Linked DNA regions of Saccharomyces cerevisiae S288C. The gene in region 2 interacts genetically with the main gene of each other region. Each region holds a gene or a part of one and is shown on either strand. Other genes may lie near its edges.

Region 1 (7,913 bases), on a different chromosome or scaffold from region 2:
GAATCATGAAGGCTCAAGCCTTGAGAGACTCTTCCATGTCCTCCTACATGTCTTCCAAGAAGACTTTCGAAATTTCTCCAAAATCTCCAATTATCAAGGAATTGAAAAAGAGAGTTGACGAAGGTGGTGCTCAAGACAAGACTGTCAAGGACTTGACTAAGTTATTATATGAAACTGCTTTGTTGACTTCCGGCTTCAGTTTGGACGAACCAACTTCCTTTGCATCAAGAATTAACAGATTGATCTCTTTGGGTTTGAACATTGATGAGGATGAAGAAACAGAGACTGCTCCAGAAGCATCCACCGCAGCTCCGGTTGAAGAGGTTCCAGCTGACACCGAAATGGAAGAGGTAGATTAGGTAGAACATCATGGCCTTGAATAGGTTATAAACAAAACATAATATAACGTATAGGTATTCGAATGAATAAATAAGTATGTAAATAGGGCATCTGCATGGAAATAACTGGGTAAAACATTACAATGTATTTTTTTAGAGTTTTCACTATTCCGACGCGTCTAGTGTGTCATACAAAACGCGAAGAATCTGAAATCGTGAAATATACTTAAGAATATAACTGAAATAGCTTAAGCATAAATGGACTTTACTGCGAAGATAAAGGGTATGTTGAAACTCATCTGCTTTCATTATGCGTCCAACTAATTAACATTGCATATTTTCGTATACTATTTTTTTGTGTAGAGCTCGAACGAGAACTCTCAGAGACGAGTGACTATAAGACCTTGCAGAAGAAGACCATAAGTCTTCGAAGTGAGCTGAATACTCTGTCACATTCTTTGACATCTTATGAAAAAGAACACTTCTCCAATGATATAGAAAATGTATTAAAATCTATTAATGCAAAATTATCTGAGTCAAAGGGCAAAAAACGACTATTCTCCTTCAAACAGAAAAATTCATCATCAGCCGTTCATAAGAATGTTGAACGTACGGAGCTTGCGAATGCGCCGGCGTATACCACTACTTTGAAAAAGCATTATGTCTTGGAGAAGGGTGATTCAGCTTTTGAAAATTTAGAGTTTTGTACTGTTACATCAACAACAGATTATAGTGGCAATAGTGCCCTTTCTGGTTCTTTGTGCTTTCGCAATATTACTAAATGTGTCATAAACTTACAAAGGATTTTCTTTCAAACAGGGAGTATTTTCATAACTGATTGTACGGATTCTATAATTTTTCTACGGTCTCCTTCCGACAAGGATTTCCAAATCCGTTTACGTGACTTGAAAAATTGCAAAATTTTGATAGAGAAACTCTCGCCAAGTATCGATTGCAAACAAGTGGTAATCATAGAAAATTGTCACAAATGCATTTTCAACGCAAGCACTCGGGACCACCTAATTATACAAGATTTCTCTAACCCCTTCCAAAGCGAAGAAACTGAGGACAATTCTGCCTTTGCATTTGAAGATTTTGATATTTGTAACAAGGATACAATGCAGTTGTTTCGCGCTTACTTATAGCGCTTTATATTGAGCTACGCATCGCTAAAATTGTTTATTTCGTATATAGTGATTTAAGCATGCCATTAATAGCATATCCTAAAAGAGGAAAGTGTAAACATTACAAATTCTTCCATCTTGAAATTAAGAAACCCTGTTATTGACATCAGAAAACAACAGCTTTTTATTGAAAATAAGAAAGTAGTTGGCCAAAACATAGATTATTTTTTTGAAAAACTTATTGCACCAGTTCAATTATATGTAACAAGGTGGTGCAAAAACAATGACAGCATATTCAGGCTCTCCTTCGAAACCAGGCAATAATAATTCTTATCTAAATCGTTATGTTGAAAACCTAGGCACCAATGTGACTCCACCTCTGAGACCGCAGTCAAGTTCCAAAATCAACTCTTCGTTAAACATAGCGTCGCCAAGTCATTTAAAGACTAAGACGTCAGCTAGCAACAGTTCTGCGACAATTTTGTCAAAAAAAGTAGAAAGTTCCGTATCAAAGCTGAAGCCATCCCTTCCTAACAAACTCGTAGGAAAATATACCGTAGACTTAAGTAATTATTCGAAAATAGAACTGAGGTACTATGAGTTTTTATGCAGAGTATCAGAAGTCAAAATATGGATTGAAGCTGTTATTGAGGAAGCACTACCATCAGAAATAGAGTTATGTGTTGGAGACTCACTTAGGAATGGTGTTTTTTTGGCCAAGCTAACCCAGAGGATAAATCCAGATTTGACAACGGTTATATTTCCTGCAGGTGATAAACTACAATTTAAACACACTCAGAACATTAATGCCTTTTTTGGTTTGGTAGAACATGTCGGTGTTCCGGACTCTTTTAGATTTGAATTGCAAGATCTCTATAACAAGAAGAATATCCCTCAGGTTTTCGAAACCCTGCATATTCTTATATCAATGATTAATAAGAAATGGCCAGGCAAAACGCCCGCTTTAACAAATGTATCGGGCCAAATAAGTTTTACCAAAGAAGAAATCGCAGCTTGTAAAAAAGCATGGCCTAGAATTAGAGACTTCAAGTCCTTAGGAACTAATATCAATACTGCACCAGCTTCCCCTGAGGAACCAAAAGAAAAAAGAAGCGGATTGATAAAAGACTTTAATAAATTTGAAAGGCCGAATATACCGGTGGAAGAAATTTTAATTACCCCAAGAAAGAATATAACAGATGCTAATTGCTCCGATTTTTCTAATACACCTTCACCTTATAATGAAGCTCCAAAAATGTCAAATTTGGATGTCGTTGTTGAGAAGAGGAAATTCACACCCATTGAGCCGAGTCTTCTGGGCCCTACACCATCTTTAGAATATAGCCCAATAAAAAACAAAAGTCTGTCGTACTATTCTCCTACCATCTCGAAATACTTGACATATGATACAGAATTTTATACGAGAAGGAGTCGTGCAAGAGAGGAAGATTTGAATTATTACCAGACGTTCAAATACTCACCTTCTCATTATTCTCCCATGAGAAGAGAAAGGATGACAGAGGAACAATTTTTAGAGAAGGTAGTTCAACTGCAAAATATTTGTCGAGGAGTTAATACCCGTTTTAACCTATACATTCAAAAAAGGTTACTGAACCTTTTTGAACAGGACATACTAAGGTTTCAAGCATGCCTAAGAGGAAATAAATTTAGAGTATTGTCATCAATGTATTTGCCAATAAGAAGAGCAAAGATTGACGTTCCTCATGTCGAGGCGATTCAATCGCGAATTAAGGGAAGCAGAATTCGATATAAATACGATAAATTGAAATTTACACTCTCAAGGTTTTCGTGTACTGTCGAACTTTTGCAAGCATATTGTCGTTCAAAATTGTTGAAGACAACCGTTAACACAAAATTAAATGATATTGAGATATCACATTATCCTCTGACAAAATTGCAGTCTTATATGCGTGCTTCTTATGTGAGAAAGAAGGTGATGTCCCTCAATACAAAGTTGAACGATGAGCGAGAAAGTATTATGAAGTTTTCGGCAATCATCAGAGGTAACGTTGTGAGGTGTTCAGAGGACGCGATATTAAGTGCTGTACATGATGTACATAAGGAAAATATCTCAAAATTGCAAAGCTTGATTAGAGGAATATTTACGCGTTCGTGCCTAGCATCAATAATATATTCACTTGGAAAAGAAAACTGTAATATTATTCAATTATCAGCCTGTATACGCGGAAACGCTGTAAGACATAAGGTACAGTCACTGTTTGCGCCCGAAAATAATCTCAGTGAAACTGTGCACGACCTCCAGGGTTTGGTTAGAGGTATTCTAGTCCGCTACACATTAGACTTAGTCGATGACATTGTGGAGTATAATAATTTAGCATTATTTCAAGCATTTTCTAGAGGCGCTTTAGTACGTGAAAGCTTGGACCAAAAGTCGAGTTTTTACAAGAGAAACGTAAGGTCGGTTATTATGATTCAAAGCTGGATTAGGAAAAGTCTGCAAAGATCGGCATATTTGGAACTTCTAGACTGTCCAAATCCAAGTCTTTGGGCTGTCAAAAAATTCGTTCATTTGCTCAATGGAACAGCAACCATTGAAGAGGTCCAAAACCAGTTGGAGAGTTGCCAAGCCTCTCTTGATTCCGAAAATATGAAGAAGGAACGATTACTGAAGAGCATAAGACAACAACTAAATATTAACGGAGTATTGGATAAGTTTGGACTATTAAAAGATAAAGATCATGAACTCGGTATTTCCGATTCTACGATTCCGAAGTCTAAATATCAAAAGTATGAAAAACTGTTCTATATGTTGCAAGTTGATCCCTCTTATTGGAAATTGCTGTATTTGAAAGAGCCAGAATTTGTTGCAAAGAATGTTTATATGACATTTGGAACAGTGAATCAAAGGATGAACGACAGAGAGAGATCCTATTTCACAAGGTTTGTTTGTGAAATGTTACAAAATGCGATTAATGAAGCACCGAGTATTGAAAGCTTTCTTGACAACCGATCACAATTTTGGCAAACCATTCTTCAAGATTTTTTGAGAAGAGAGTCTCCAGAATTCTTCTCTATAATAGTCCCAGTTTTGGATTACTTGTCAGATCCAGTAGTGGATTTTGAAAGTGATCCATACAAAATTTATCAAGAAATACACGGCTTTAGCTCTCCTCAGCATTGTTCGCCTGTGGATGATGCGAGTACCAAGAATAAGTTCATTGACAATTTAAGGTGCCTATGGCACGCGATTGAAATGGTCGCTGAAATTTATACCAGAAAGGTTCACACTATTCCCGTTGAAATCAGGTACCTCTGCACTAAAATCTTCTGCTACGCGGCAGATAAGAATATTGAGGAGATTGACTCTTTAAGGGCCATATCAAGTATTCTAGTGAACGTTTTTGTGTCTGAATATTTGGTCAACCGGGAATATTACGGATACAAAGACAGCAACGTTCAAAAAAATAACCAAAAAATTGACATTCTAATGAAATCCTTGGCGACTGTTTTTGAAATCAAAAATTTTGATGGCTTTTTGGATCCATTGAACCAGTACGCTAACGAAATAAAGCCTCATATCAAAGATGTCCTTTATAATGTGTTAGTAGATCCAGAGTATGAACAAGAGGGAGATAGATTGATTTATTTGGATATGGTATCGCCAAGCCCCAAATTGGAATTGTTAACTGAAAAGGTTCTGGAAATCAGTGGTAAATTTGAAGAGTATTTAAATGAATTTCCGGAAGCAGATATTTTGCATGATATTTTGGAAAAGAACTTGGACAATTCATCCTTTCCAAGATCAGGACGTGTTACCTTGGAATTGGATGCATCTGCATATCGATTCCTCGTTAGTGATGACAAGATGAGAAAAATCTACGACCAAGTTAAAAGGGCATTTGTGTACATGATGCAAATTGAGGATGTAGATACCAATTTGTATGACCTTTCAATTAGTACAATTCTACCTCAAGATGAACCAAATTTTGCAAATTTTCTGGAGCAAAATCCTAAAATCAGGGATGATCCAATGATACAGAAGCTGAAACCATTGAAATACTTCACACTCAAAAATGTTACTTTGAAAAAAATACATGAACTAGAAAGTACGGGGACTTTTTGCTCTTCTGATAATAAGTTACAAAATTTCTTAAACGATATTGCGAACACTATTAAAAATCCCAACTATGCCATTGATTATGTAACCCAGGAAATTTACATCACAAAGGAAACACTCACAAAAATTTCGGAAATGAACCACAGCTTAGATATAGAATTATCAAGGCTTAAAAAACATGTTGATCATACGATAAAAGACTTCCAGAAAGCCAAGGATTTTTCGCCGGTGCACAAAAGTAAATTTGGAAATTTTAAGAATGCAGTAAAAAAAGTTCAAGGAAGAGAACGTTCTGAATTGCAGGGAATGAAGTTTAAATGGAACACAAAGCAGTTGTATGAAAGAGGAGTGCTTAAAACCATCAGGGGTGAAAAACTAGCTGAACTGACTGTAAAAGTCTTTGGTTCGAGCGGTCCTAAATTCCCAGATATAATATTCAAAATTTCCACATCGGATGGTTCTAGATTCGGTATTCAAATGATTGACAAAAGAAAAGGGCCCGATAAACGATACTCGGATGATGTCGATTCTTTCTCATTTAAAGACTTGATAAAGACTCAAGTTGAACCAAAAATCGAGACGTGGAAATTATTCCATTCCAACGTTGTTGTTAACAATAGCCAATTACTACATTTGATTGTCAGTTTTTTCTATAAAAGGAACGCTTTGTAATAGATAACTCGGTTTTGAGCATATTGGGCAAAAGCTGTTACTAAATTTTCCCATTCTTTCTATTTTTATCTTTGTTTTTATTTTCCTTATTTTCAGCAGCAAAAATAATTTAACGTATAGTTATGTAAAGGACCCTAAACATCTTCTTTTTAGCATGTGCTGTAATTTGGCGATATCTTCAGTAGATAAAAATAAGATGTGTTAAGTAATGCACTTCGTTATTTGGCTACTATAGTTGGCAATCATCATTTGTTTAAATGGAATAATCTATATAGTACTATAAATACAGTCATACTAGAAAAATATTAACGACCAAATAGGCCCAAGAAACCACGCTTCTTTTTAGGCTCTCCTTCCGTCTGCTCATTAGAAATTGGTGTTTGAGAGATGCTCTCGGTTTCTGTGACTGAATCTTTCACTTGAGAAGCTGAGGGCTCTTGCTTATCATATGTTATGTAGTTGAAGGCCAAATCAAAAAGTGTTGGTTTACTAGGAATGGGCAGCATTTTTGGCTTGAGAGGGAATAAATTTTTCAATTGTATGTCCGTTGGCAGTATTTTTTTACTATCCAATTTTTCAATCACTGTCAAATCATATTTCCCTAAGCTGCCACCATGATTTCTTTTTTCGTATTCCGCCAAAGTAATGACACTATTACCACCGTTTTCGATTCTCTTTTGTAAGCTTCGGACAGAATTCAATGACAAAAGATTTGCTGGAAGTAAGATTTCGTCTAGAGATTCAATTTCAGATAATTTGTTTTCTAATCTTCGGTAAGCGTCCACATATAGAGCTAACGCCTCCATATATCTGCCTTTCGACTGATATAAAACACTCAGGCAGCCCGTATTCAGAAATAACTGGAAATACAGCTTGCATAAGTCTAATTGGCTTAGCAGCTCGTCATCTGAATACACACCAGGTAGCTCCATTATGTCCGATAAATATTTTGTCAAATTCTTCACAATACGTTCCATTTCTTTATATTTGGTTAACTTCGATGGTAATGAAGTATTTAATTTCAGCCATTGATTCCATAAATGAGTAAACAAATCTCTTTCACGAGATATAGAGGTCAAAAGAATATTATATTTAATGTAGGCTAAAATTATCTGATTGTTTTCAGAACTATTTTCAACCATCTCGTCTATGTCATCTTGATCGTCGTGGTTTGCGATGAAAAATTCATGACGGTCTAAAGCTTTCTCCAATTTTGATAGCCTCTGTGTATATTGAGTAATCTGAGTTGGGTGGATAGATAGACCTTGTTCCAAAAATTGAGCAACTTCAGCATCGATTATCTTGGCGTTGAAAGATCTCCAGTTTATGTTAGTGGTAACCTTTTGATCTTCAGTTGAGGTTGTAATTTTTTTCATATTGAATCCATTGTCTAATAACAATTTCACAAGCTCATCGTCCTTGTTCTCATCAGATTGAACTCTTTCCACGATAAAGTTATTTATTTCGGGCGTTGTAATTAAATTTCCCGCGTACTGCTTGAGAGAGTACTGGTATTTATTAACAATGTTATCTACAACTTCTTCAGCTAATAAGCTTAGATTCTTCAAGTGTTCCAATGCGGCGAAAACGAGGGCTAGGTTGTTCGAAATTTTGGCATTGTCCTTCCTCTTGAACCTTTTTCCATTAATTAGGTACTCTGAATGTACCAATTTAGCGAAC
Region 2 (7,138 bases):
ATTGTTCTTTAGTGAAAGAAACTGGATACTTTGAAATAATAAGCGATTCGAACTTGGTAACGAGATCGGACATTGACTCTTGAAACTCTATATTATACTTTCTTATTCAATTGGGCCCTGAAGTAAAATACGTCGCACGCTGTGTTAGGTTATCCATATGACTGAAAAATTTTCTTATCTCTTGCAAAATCGCCAAGCGGTTAGAATCCCTCAGAAACTGAAGAAAAACGCTTAATCGTTAATAATGACTATCACATACCATTATCATTTATTTGTTCATATATATGTTCATATATATGTACATATATATATATATATATATATATATATGACTATTTATTGCTATGCATTATAAAGAAAGACTTGGCTCTCTGAATTACCAGTATGAAAAATGAAAAACCGCTGGCAAGTTTTCATTGCATAATGGCGCTTTTTTCGTTTTTATGTCGATAGGACTCTGTTATATAGTAATAAATGTCTAAATTTGCAGTTCCGCACTCTCATTGTCTCAAAACATCTTCGATGAACTTCTTGTAGTCAATTTCTCCGTTGCTGTCCACTTCAACACCCTTCAACAGCTCGTCTACTTCAGCGTCGGTTAACTTTTCACCCAAGCCAGTTAGCATGTACCTTAAGTCACCAACGGATACCTTGCCTGTACTTTCCTTGTCGAAGACCTGGAATGCCTTGACGAAGTCTTCTGTCTTTGCCTTGGTAGTTGCATCCAATTCCTTTTCGTTGACTTCAATTAGGCCTGTAATCTGGTCCAGCGTCAAGCTAGAGGCGTCTCTCAAGCTCGAATCCGCGTTTATGATGTCCTGTACGAGCTGGTTGGTGGGGTTGTAGCCAATTGCCCTCAGGTAATCTCCCAAGGAATCCTTGGCAATGGCGCCTTGACCCTTCTTGTCGAATAGTGTGAAAATATCTTTATTGGCTCTGGTGGCTGACATTGTTATTCTATGTATGTGCGATGGGTGGTGGCGGAATACGCTGGGGAAGGAACTCTTATACGTCGATCTACTCTGAGTATTATTTTGTTTCAAATCTTACTTCAAAATGCTTTTGTTACTACTCGTGTGTAATGATATATGGTTGAGGTTCCTGACTGAACAAGATTCGAAAAAATGTATTCAGTATGGCATTGTAATGAGGGTCTAAGCAATAAGTAAAAGAAGGTGAGGTTTCAGTGTCATTTTCTTACACTATTCGGAGAGTCCATATACTGCAAAAGGGACAATGATGCTTAGAAGAAATGCGGTGAGATCGTTAAAAACTATGGAAATAAGCGTAAGCAACGTTGTTAACTCCGGTTCGATAGCAATGCTGAGAGGTAAGCTTGCCAACGTAGTTCTTAGCGACCGTACTTACCACTCCAGTCCGATATTTCATAAAAATGTACCTAAGGGCGTTTTGGACAAGAAGAATGGGCGAGAACAGCGCAAAACAGAACAGAATGTGTTTAATGTGGATCCAGCTTCTCCATGGCGCCACGAGCTTCTTTCGTTTGATGAGTGTGTATCATCTGCTTTAAAGTACTCTACCACGCCTTTGCAAAATACATACAAAAGAATAGGAAACAACCAATTGAATAAAAATCCATCATTCGCCATGTTTTGGGACTCCATGGGCAGAGCAATGGAGTTATACTATTCTTTGAGAGAATCGCCTGATTTCAATGCGTACCGGGTGTCACGTTTGATTCATCTGCTGCATAACGGTCTGAGGTCGACGAGAGACCAATTGGTAAAATTAAGTAGAAAGCCAGACTACGATTCGCAATCTTTTCACAAGGAAATGATGAACTTTCTATGTAATTCATTAAAGGATATATCTGATGACATTTTGATAGGCAAGGTGTCTGTCAGCGGATATGGAGCTACTCATCTATTGACTTCATTTAAAGAGCTGTCATTTGACGATGACTGTATTCGAATTTGGGAAGCGTCAAAGAATTTGTCCGACGAGACTACTTCACAGGCATTCCAAGAACCAAAAGTGGTTGGTTTTATGCTGCCATTACTTTATGCAAAAACGCGTTCTCTGACTGAGCCTAACGAGCTATATAACCAAATTATTCAATCCAAAGAATTTATCCATCCCAATCTTTACAGCGGACTGATAAAAGTCTTCATCAAGGCGGAAGACTACGAAAAGGCATTATCCCTCTTCGGCCAATTATGTGAAAAGGCTGAAGTGAGGAATTACGGTTATTTAATTGAAACGCACTTAAGCTTCATTGGTGATTCCAAGAATTTAACGTTGGCAGAAAGTTTCTTTGACAAAATTATCAACGATGAAATGCCATACAAGATTATTTTACAAGTCTCTACAGTGAACTCTTTTTTGCAGAATATATGGAAAGCACAGAACGATTTTGATCATGTTTATAGAATATGGGAAAAGGCTGTAAAATTTTATGGTAACACTGTTAATCCTGGAATTTTGTCCTCACTAAACAACACTTTTTTCACAATATTCTTCGAAAACTATATTAATGACAATATCAATGGTTTCCGTAAGCTTCAAGAAATCATAACGTTTTACAGTGGGGTCAAAAAAATTGATGAACCATTTTTTAACGTTATGTTAACTAGAGCATCTATCTGGCACGAACGCAGCATAATCGATTTTATCGATAAAAACTATACTTTGTACCATATTCCAAGAACTATTATATCATATAGAATACTACTGAAATCATTGGGAAGCATAGACAACACGAATAATGAAGAGATTCTGGATAGATGGCTGGAGTTGGTCAAGAAACTGAATGAATTGGGCCAACAATATATAGCCAATGCTGATCTGTCCGCTTTGAGGGATGCCACTGTCGTATGGTCACAATCAAAGAGGGATGAAAAGGTCTTTTCTGCAAAAGCTAAAGGAACACCAGCAACGACTACGACCACAGAAGACGACATAAAAGTTCCGAAGCCATTGGAAAATTTGAAAAATGAGGATTCTACTTCGAATTCAGAAGACAGAATAGAGCTGTACTTGAAAATATTAAAAAGATATACGCCCTACTTTCGCGCTACCAAGCAAGTATATAGGTATACCACTGGATGCGCAGAGTCATACCCAATATTAAATGAGTATCTGAGCGGTTATTCTGACTTGAGTGCCGAGGACATTCCTGTTCCTCAACTACATAGCTTTATTGCTAAGGAGCAATAGTACTAGCGCATTCATTCTCCCCATCTCAATTTATGCATGCTTGTAAATAAACATTTAAACGTATAATATATAAGATCGAATCTTCTATGATCAAGAAATGTGTATATTTTTTTCCCTCATGTAATCAGCGATTTTTTCCCTCTAGAAAAATAAAAATGAAAAGGATAGGCATAAGACTATATAAAAGCGGTCTATAATTATCATTAACATCATCCAGGAAATTTGCACCAGCAAACAACAACAAATATTTAAGTACATAGTATGGGGCTTTGCGGAAGTAAAACCCAACCAATGCCTTCACAAACTACGACGGTGGCAACTAAAGCAAGAACAAAACCAATTAATCGTGATACAGTCAAGTCAAAGCAAGAACTTCGACATAAAGAGAAGAAAGATAAAAAGAAGAAGACACAACTAAAGAGTACAACTGTCCCGGTTGTGCAAAGGAAAGAAGGCAGCAAATTAACTGATACAAGTGATCCGAGCAAAAATAAAGTTAGCCCAAAGGAGGCCGCAAGGTTAGCTGCTGAGAAGAGATTTCAAGAGACGAATGAAAAGTACAATAAGGGCGAGTTAGGCAAAAAGCTAGCTCAAGAGCGTGCCAAGTCTCATAAGACTCGCTTAATGGAAGAGGCCGAGAAAAAGCATGCTGAGAGGGAAAGGGAAAACATGATTTATGACTGAGAGAACGACGGCAGTAATATTGTAATGAATCAATATATGCAATTGTACAAGAATTTTTTTGTTGGCCTTCCATTCTCCTCTTGGCTTTGTAACGTTTATATACCTGAATATCTGCCAATGGATTTTGCGCGGCCATAGAAAAAATGAAAATATAAAACACTAGTTCTCATAAATGAGAGACATTCGAGTTAACTATTGAATCTTGGAAATTTTTATAGGATAGAATCACTAAGAATAATGTTATCAAGGTACAACCGCGTTATTGAAATAAATGGGGGTAATGCAGATATTTCTCTGCCCATTGTCAAATTTCCACCGTTTAAACTCAGAGCTCAATTAATTGAAAAGGACCCCGTAGTATGGCTGCATCTAATAGAAACCTATGTAACGTATTTTGAGTATTTGATGCAAGGTGCTAACGTTGAATTATTAGATGAATCTACACTTGATCATCTTCGTTTATTTTTGAGAACTTACTTGCATGAAATTGCTGATGAGGAAGGAAAGTTATTAAGTCTCGGTATCAACCATGATGTGTCTGAACAGTTATATTTACTAAAAGGCTGGATATTTTCATTGATCAAGAAATGCGGGTTATTACATCTTCAGATTTTTGGTGACTCCCTGTGGAATTTGATCAAAGTATATGTTAGACGTAATCCAGATTCTATTCGTGGTTTGATCGATGGCTCATTGAAACCACGGATCAACACGCAACGTGTACAATTGGACAAATCGTACCAAGTTCAACAGCATTTGAAGCAGTTAATAGAATCTGGAAAATTTAAAAGAATAGATTTAAGGTGCGTTGAAGATCTGCTGTCTGCCAAATCCATGCAGCCAAATAAGTTTGCGGAGAACTTCTTTACGGCAAATTGGATTGAAATTTTAGAGGCATTATGGGCAAAGGGACAGGGCCGGGGTCATAAAGAGGCTAGAGAATTGATCATTATCAGTTTATTTTCTGTTTCTGCTGATCGTTTACTAAAAATAACTAAAGAATTAGGCATAAGCAATTTTGAAACTTTGGCGTTATATCCTCTTTTAGGAACAATGCTCATAAATGAAGGAGTCCACAAAAGGCTTCCTGATTTGAAGAGCAAGTTACTATTTCTGAATTTAGGGGGGTTGTCAATGGACGAAGGAGACCATATGAGCTATCCAACATCATCAGGTACTGAAGTTAATGAAGAACAACTGTCCGCGTTGATGGAATTGTTCCCCCAGTTTTCTAAATATCAATTATCTCAAACGTTGCTTGCCTATGATAATAACATTGAATTAGTAACGAATAAAATATTTGAGGATCCTACCATTATCGAAGCATTCTCCAGAGAACCTGCGGAGGAAGAAGTAGAGCCGGTGTCAGATGGTGATAATGCATCCTTTACTGAAGAACTGAGTATATTGGATAGAGGAGATAGCTCAAAAAATAAAGAGCTAGACAAAAAGATTATCTCGGAGGGTGTTCCGGATGAATTAAGAAATAAAACTTTGACAAGAGCATTGAAACTTTTATACGAGGCTGATGAAGATGAAAGGGATGACACTTATGATGAAGCCGATGTGAACCGGTCCGATCCTTCGAAAAGAATTGGACTTCAAGAAGACGAAGAAAGCTATGATACAAAAGATGATTCTAATGAAGTGCGACAAGATCATAACTATCATATTGTTGAAGCTTACTTGTGGAATCTATTGAAAGAGGATCCGAAATTATTTGAGAGATCAAAAAGAGGTACAAAAGTCAGGAAAACTATGAAAGAAATGACTTCATGGTCGGATGAAAAAATCGAAGGTTGGTGTCGGATGTTAGAAAGATCTCCTACCCGAGCAAGACTTTTAGAAAAGAAGTTTATGTTCAAAGGAAATAGCAAAACAGGGAAAACGTCTTATGTTCATAATCGTGATAGCCAAAATGATGGAAATGTCGTCAAAGAACAAGCCAAACAAAAAAAATCTGAAAATATTAAGAAACATGAACCTCAATCTACTGAACAGAAGAAAAGACAGCATGCTAAGAATGAAAAAAGGAAAGGGGCTAGAGCTAACCATAACCGTAAGAAGGGGCACGATAAAAAATTGGCTCGTGCGGGAAATAACGCTATTTGATAAAATGCATCAGCATACAAGATAGACAAGCGTATGTAAGTTTACTAGACGGTATACAATTATGTAACGTATTATAAGTTATTCAGCGTCGCGTTCAGGAAGTGCTTTTTTTAATAATTTTTCCCGCCGACTAGTAAAACTTTGCCTTCAATTAGCGTCCTTTACTATTAAATTTTGCTTTTCTTACTGGCTTTAGAAGCAGCTACCTTTCCCTCCAATTTATTCCAAAGCTCATCTGCGTCTTCTTCAAGTTCTGTAACCTTCCTTTTTTGCTTCCCTTTGGCAGCTTTCGCACTTGGACTTAGTGGCATCTCGATTTCAACGTCATCCAGCATAACAATAAAATTTATACGGGACCCAACATAAACCTTCACCAGCATTTTGTTAGTTTTTATATCGAAGATCCGAACATACCTATCTAAACCACCTTGTAAAAGATATTTGCCGTCATGTACATGAATATAGGTTGACGAACCAGTGATATCATCTCTACCCACCTTGCCCAACATTCTTCCATTACCATCGAATTTAAAAACATTCTTTTTGTAGTCAGTAGTAATCACATTCAGTTCATTAAAGGTTTCAGATTGAAAATTCCCCAACGAAGAGACAACATTTTCTCCCTTGGCATCAAAAACTTCCATCTGAGATAATGGTTCACGGTTAGGTAATAAATCTATCTGAGCGAACGGTTTTCTGCCATGTTGTGTGCTGTATTTGGTGAGGTGGGACCAACGGGTTATGGCTGCAAACTGGTAGTTCAGCTTACCCTTTTCAGTTTTACCAGGGGAGGGCTCCAAAAATCTTAGGGCCATGGGCCATACTGGGACTCTCATATCCAACCTGTCGTTTTTAACATTCTTGGCTTCCCAAATTTGCTTTAAAGATTGGAAACTCGAATCTATTTCCACTAATTTTATTAAATTCTCCTCCCCTCCGTATGCAAATATATATTTATCAGTATCGGTATCTTCTAGATCATATAACTGAAGAAATTCTACTGGTGCTTTCAGTCCAAGGGATGCTAGTTTTATTAACTTTTTATCTTCTCCTTTTTTTATAATATGTAATAATCCCGATTTGGTAGCAGCTACGAATGTGTTATTCGACGAATCCTTTTTTATGGGACATAATGTGACAAAACCATCCACCAACTTGGTTCTTT
Region 3 (5,378 bases), on a different chromosome or scaffold from region 2:
CCAGGGTTCTCAAACCAGGTCCAGTTTAGCAGGTCATCAACACCATATCTCTTCAACATTAACACAGGAGATGTGACGTCACTTCTGGCTATTTCAGGTTCACTTTGTTTAGGTAATTTCACATAATCAGACTCACAATAAAGCCTGAAACTCTTTCCTTCACTTTCTCTACCAGCACGACCACTTCTCTGCATCGCACTTGCCTGAGAAATGGGTACGGTAAGTAGAGTGGCTAATCCCAGCTGATGTCTCCAAACTTTGACTTTTCGAAGACCAGAATCAACGACAAATTTAACACCGGATATGGTAACAGATGTTTCTGCAATATTGGTACTAAAGACGACTTTTCTCTTGAAACCCTTTATCGGAGCGAAGACCAAGGACTGTTGGACCGCGGGAAGAGCTGCATATAAAGGATAAGGAACTATTAATGGTACTGGGGCCTCATCTGAAACATACTTTGCAATTTTCTCCATTATAGTCACTGCTTTGTCAATCTCTTCTTGGCCCGGTAAAAAACATAAGATATCTCCCAGTTCTTCACCTTGGTTTATTTGTATACAACACCTGATGACAGCGTCTACTATATCATCTGTTGGCGCCTTCAAGTAGTATTGTTTGACATCAAATTTTCTTCCTTCTACAAATAAGATTGGGGCATTATTGAAGAACTCACTAAATTTTTCGGCTTGCAATGTTGCAGACATAACAATTATTCTCAAATCAGGTCTTGGCCCTTGTATCAAGGATTTTAAGAACCCCAATATCAAATCTGTAAGCACAGTTCTTTCATGCGCTTCATCGATAACGATGACGCTGTATTCTCTAAGGTCACTATTCATCATAAGTTCTCTAAGTAACATACCGTCAGTCAGATACTTAAGTCTTGTTCTTGTAGTAGTCGTATTGTCAAATCTGACAGAATAACCTACTTGTTCACCCAGTTTGCAACCATGTTCTTGAGCAACACGTGTAGCCAAATTGATGGCCGCAACACGACGGGGTTGAGTTACAGCAATCGACCCATGCTTCTTCGTATCATATAATTTTTCTAATACGAATTGCGGAATTTGTGTTGATTTACCAGAACCTGTTTCACCAATAAGGACGGTAACGGGATTGCTTTCAATATATGACATTATTTCTCGCTTGTGTTGGTAAACGGGAAGTGTTTCTCTCATTTTGAGTAAATCGCTTGCCCGACTTTTCAAAGATTTATAAGTAAGGACATTTTCCTTGTTCGAACGTTGGTCTGAAACATGGTCGCCCTCGCCTGAATCATTAAACTTTACGATTTTACTAGCTCTTTTAATCCGAGTGTTATTCGTGAATGGATGTATATTCCTCCTAACCTTTTGTTTTTTAGAAGTATGGTTTGATGCAACTCTACTATTGCTATTTGCTGCCATGATAATGTCTGCAGACTCTTGCAACCTCTTCTTGAGGAATTCTTACATATATATCATAACCTCATCTCATCTCATCGAGCAGAATTTTTTATTTTCAATTTTTCTCATTTTTCCAAATCATTGTAAACGAATAGCCGCCGAAGAAAAACGGTAGAAGAAAAGTACATCTTTCAGTCAGCATTATACGTACAAATTATTAGCGTTATCATCATGATTATAATTACAAAGATACTACACAGTTGTATCGTACAATTATCGAACTTAATTATAGTCAGCTTCCAGAAGAGGGACTTTTTGGAGTACTCGAAGTGACTTTTATCGAATGGAGGTTTAATCCCTTCTTGAACGGTCTTGCCACAAAAGACTCCTGTGATCCAGTGGTTGCTATACTGCTAGAAGAAACCTTTCTCGCGCCCCATACTAAAGGTTTTGAGGAAGTATTGGCTGACCAAGGGCTATTTGATATTTCAGAACCCTCCTCGATATGCAACATAGTATTTCCTGATGACGAGCTCATAGACCCTCTTCTAGGAGATGGGATTGCAGATTTATTAAGAGAAAGCTCTTTGACAGAACTTTCCAAAGATTTTATCCTTTCACTGCGTGTTTCAGTAAGTTTAGTGTGAGTTTCTAGTTCACCCTTTAAGATGGCGTTAGTAGTTAAAAGCTCTTGAATCTCTCTTTCCTGAAGCTGAATTTGTTCTAGTAGCCTAACGTTCATAGACTCTAAGGCTTCCTCTTTTGACTTTTTGTATTCTAACTCTTGCTGCAACTTAGAATTGGAATTCATCTGTCGATCAAAAGATAACTCAAGCTGAGCAATCTGTTCGCATCTTTTCGTTAATATTTCAGAAACTTCTTCGTCAATACGATTGTTAGGATCTTCATTGGTAGAACTACTCAATAATTGGGTAATACTGTCTAATTGAAGCTTTAGTTTGATATTTTCTTTCTTTGTATTTTCTAACATTTTTTTCTCGTCGTCTTCGGGAAGAGATTTATTGTGAAGGCTTTTTAAAGAGTCTATTTCAGCCTTTAGTATATTAATTTGGGCAACATAATTATCATCCTTAATTTTCATGTCCTGAATAAATAGATCCATTTTTTTTTTCAGATTTAAACCTGTGGTGTTATCTGTAACCTTGTTATTGATCTGTCTAATACTGTCACCAAATTCTAGTGTTGATAGGGTAGTTGGAACATTACTTAAGAAACATGTCAATATCACCTTTGTTTTCCTATTTCCCCCAAGGGAATCTTTTAACACTTCAGTTAATTGCGATTCACGGTAAGCAGAACTATGTGATCCTTTTGCGCTGTAGGCTGAATCACGCTCTTTCATTGACAAGGACCGCACAGTGTTTTTCAACGCCTCAATAGATTGGTTTAATTTTTTTAACGCATCTTGTGATAGCGTACTTTCAGTTCTTTTATCGAACTTCTCTGCCCCGTGTAAATCAACCAGATATAAAGAACTATTTTTTAATATATCATCTTTTCTATTCCTTTGTTCTACGTGTAATTGAAAAACTAGGTGTGATCTTGATCTCTCTGTCTTGTCGCCACATGCCATCCTATTGCCGACGTTTTGGACTGCCTGAATGTAGCTTCTTAAGTCTTCATACGATCCGACATGTGCCGGACAAATATCTTTGATTTCTAAGTCCATTTTGCTTGAAGAACGGTGAAGCTTTAATGGTTTTCTTTCAGGTAAAGGTACCAATAAGTCATACGTTTTCTCCATATATATTTCGAATGCCAAAACACTTACGCTAAAACTATCTCCCTTTGTTTCTTCATTTTTTTCTAGCGTATCAAACAAGGTCTTGCATATGTTCGGTAGAATTCCTTCGCTTTCTTTTGATCCAATAAGGGAATAGGACTTTCCGCTGAAACTTGGTCCATATGTTATTACAGTACCGTTATAACCATTCAAAACATCATTTATTATTGGATGCACCAGAAATTTCTGAACATCTTCTTGAGTGGCGTTAGCATCGAATACCTTATCGAATTGAAATGTTGAATGGGTCTCCTTGGTTGTCTCATGTAACGGATTGTTTGTGCGAAATAGCACAGTATTTTCATATGGGTCTATTTTGAAGGTCGACTCATTGTTTTGTAATCCTTTTTCGGGTATCGCCCTGAGGATAACTTCGATGTGACAGGGTTCACTGCTGTCTAGAGTTGGTAACGATACAGAAGAGCTACTTTGCTCTTTCGAAATTATATTCCAGTGCATTTTAACAAGTTTGCACCTACCCTGAATGATAATTTTTTCTGGTTTAAAGTCGACCTGTAGTGCTTAATAAACCCCCTACTAGTGCTAAATCCTGTAGATTTCCGTGCCAATTTTTCTATTTTTATTTTTCTTTTTTTGATTTTTTTTTTTTTTTAATTTCCATTTTTTTAACTTCCACCTCTTTCCTTGTTAACCATAAATAAGGAAGGATTGGAACTCAACGACAAAATTGAAAAATGTCTAATCGTTCATCAAAAGCATATTTTATCGGATTATGTTCCATTACTATTCAAACATTCACAATCACAGTGTATTATCTCTATGAATAAAAAAGTTGAAAATTCTAAAAAAAAAACAGAAATATATATTAATCTAAGTTAGTATTATAAATCGATTATAAATTGATTATATACATCACAAATGGTTCATACTCTGTGTCGACAAGAGAAGCATATTGGTGAAGAGAAGTATCTTGCTTGTTAATTTTCCCTTTTTTATCCTTCATGAAGGCATTGCCACCAAGAAATCCAAAAGCATCAATTAATTCAGACTTGCATTTAGAGAGATTCTTTGGTGGGACAGCTATAATCTTGATGTTAAAGTGAGGTGGCAACCCGTAACGCAAAACAGATTCCACGTAAACTCTCAAGGCCTTGATGTGGAACCAATTTATAAAAACATCGACATAAGCTGTCTTGGCCAATCTTACCAACTGGACGCGCAAAGATTGTTCTAAACTGGCAGCAGAGTCATGCTCTTTTTTCAACTGGTCAATTAATTCCTCCGAGTAGTTAAATTCACGAGGAATGAATTTCTTCTCTCTAGCAGCTGTTGTGAATTCTTGAACGTTTTTCTTGAACAAATGAACATTGAACAAAACATACTCAGCATCCTCTGCAATCACGCTGGCAGATGCTGGTACAACGTTCTTGGATAAAGTTTCGTACGATTTTTCGAAATCGGATTTTAAACTTTTGGGAACTGCTACTAGAACAGTAGTTAAATGTTCAGAATTAAGAACGAAGTCTTCGGGCTTGACAATATCATGCAAGGATCTGACAGAAAGGTCACCCGTCTTCTTTCTCTCAGCAGCAGCCAAGTTAGTTTTAGCGCTGTTGTAATTTGCATAAGTAGCTCTGACGTCGGCGTCTAATTGAGAAGATTCATTAGAAATCAATGTTATCAAATCTTTGATAGACTTATCTAACTTGAACTTTCTGGTTTGCCATTGAAAATTTTCCAAGTATTCAGGAACTGGCATATTATTGATAGGTAAAGTCCTGTAAGCATTGGTGCTGGTCTCGTTGAGGCCTTGAAGAATTTCAATGATTTTGCCAATAGAAGCCCCAATTTGGTTATCTACTTTAGACAGTTCTTCCGATTCAACTATCAATGTGTCTAAAGAGCCAATTTTGAATTCGGGAATTTTGAAATCAGAAACAAATGCCCTACCCCCGATTAAGGTCTCATTGAACCATGAATCAGTTTTGGAGCCAGGGGCGGTAACAGGTTGAGCATTTTGAGGCAACGAGATTAATATGAAATCGTTTGCAGTATATAACGCAGTAGCCATTTTTTTTTTTCAGAAAAAAGAATTGATCTAGAATTAGGTAAGAAAACAAACTCTAGCAACTGCAACTTCTATATACCTCCTTTGTTTGTGTTTCTAAAGCACTGTGACAAATCCTGCTTGAAAGCACATGATATCACCAGACGTGTTGCACTAT

Evidence for each region. Genes that interact genetically often act in the same process or in processes that back each other up.
Region 1: of MLC1 (region 2) and IQG1, extra expression of one rescues a mutant of the other (dosage rescue), as found in Saccharomyces cerevisiae (2 studies listed by BioGRID).
Region 3: of MLC1 (region 2) and SMY1, extra expression of one rescues a mutant of the other (dosage rescue), as found in Saccharomyces cerevisiae (one study listed by BioGRID).

Annotation. Positions count from the first base shown.
Region 1 is NC_001148.4:88,942-96,854, reverse strand, and holds IQG1 (Iqg1p), read left to right. Parts: upstream 1-1,745; coding exon 1,746-6,233; downstream 6,234-7,913. Other genes in the region: Hsp90 family chaperone HSP82, read left to right, coding at 1-359; GTPase-activating protein CIN2, read left to right, coding at 597-621, 702-1,483; signal recognition particle subunit SRP68, read right to left, coding at 6,539-7,913. UniProt on the Saccharomyces cerevisiae protein: Required for the assembly and the contraction of the actomyosin ring at the bud neck during cytokinesis.
Region 2 is NC_001139.9:300,372-307,509, reverse strand, and holds MLC1 (Mlc1p), read right to left. Parts: upstream 951-7,138; coding exon 501-950; downstream 1-500. Other genes in the region: ARC1 (Arc1p), read right to left, coding at 1-73; RMD9 (Rmd9p), read left to right, coding at 1,237-3,177; YGL108C (uncharacterized protein), read left to right, coding at 3,439-3,861; CUE3 (Cue3p), read left to right, coding at 4,099-5,973; ribosome biosynthesis protein NSA1, read right to left, coding at 6,141-7,138. UniProt on the Saccharomyces cerevisiae protein: Essential light chain for the class II conventional myosin MYO1. Also acts as light chain for the class V unconventional myosin MYO2 and for IQG1.
Region 3 is NC_001143.9:284,876-290,253, reverse strand, and holds SMY1 (Smy1p), read right to left. Parts: upstream 3,652-5,378; coding exon 1,681-3,651; downstream 1-1,680. Other genes in the region: DHR2 (RNA helicase), read right to left, coding at 1-1,409; VMA5 (H(+)-transporting V1 sector ATPase subunit C), read right to left, coding at 4,046-5,224. UniProt on the Saccharomyces cerevisiae protein: Possible microtubule-based motor that can interact or substitute with myosin 2 (MYO2).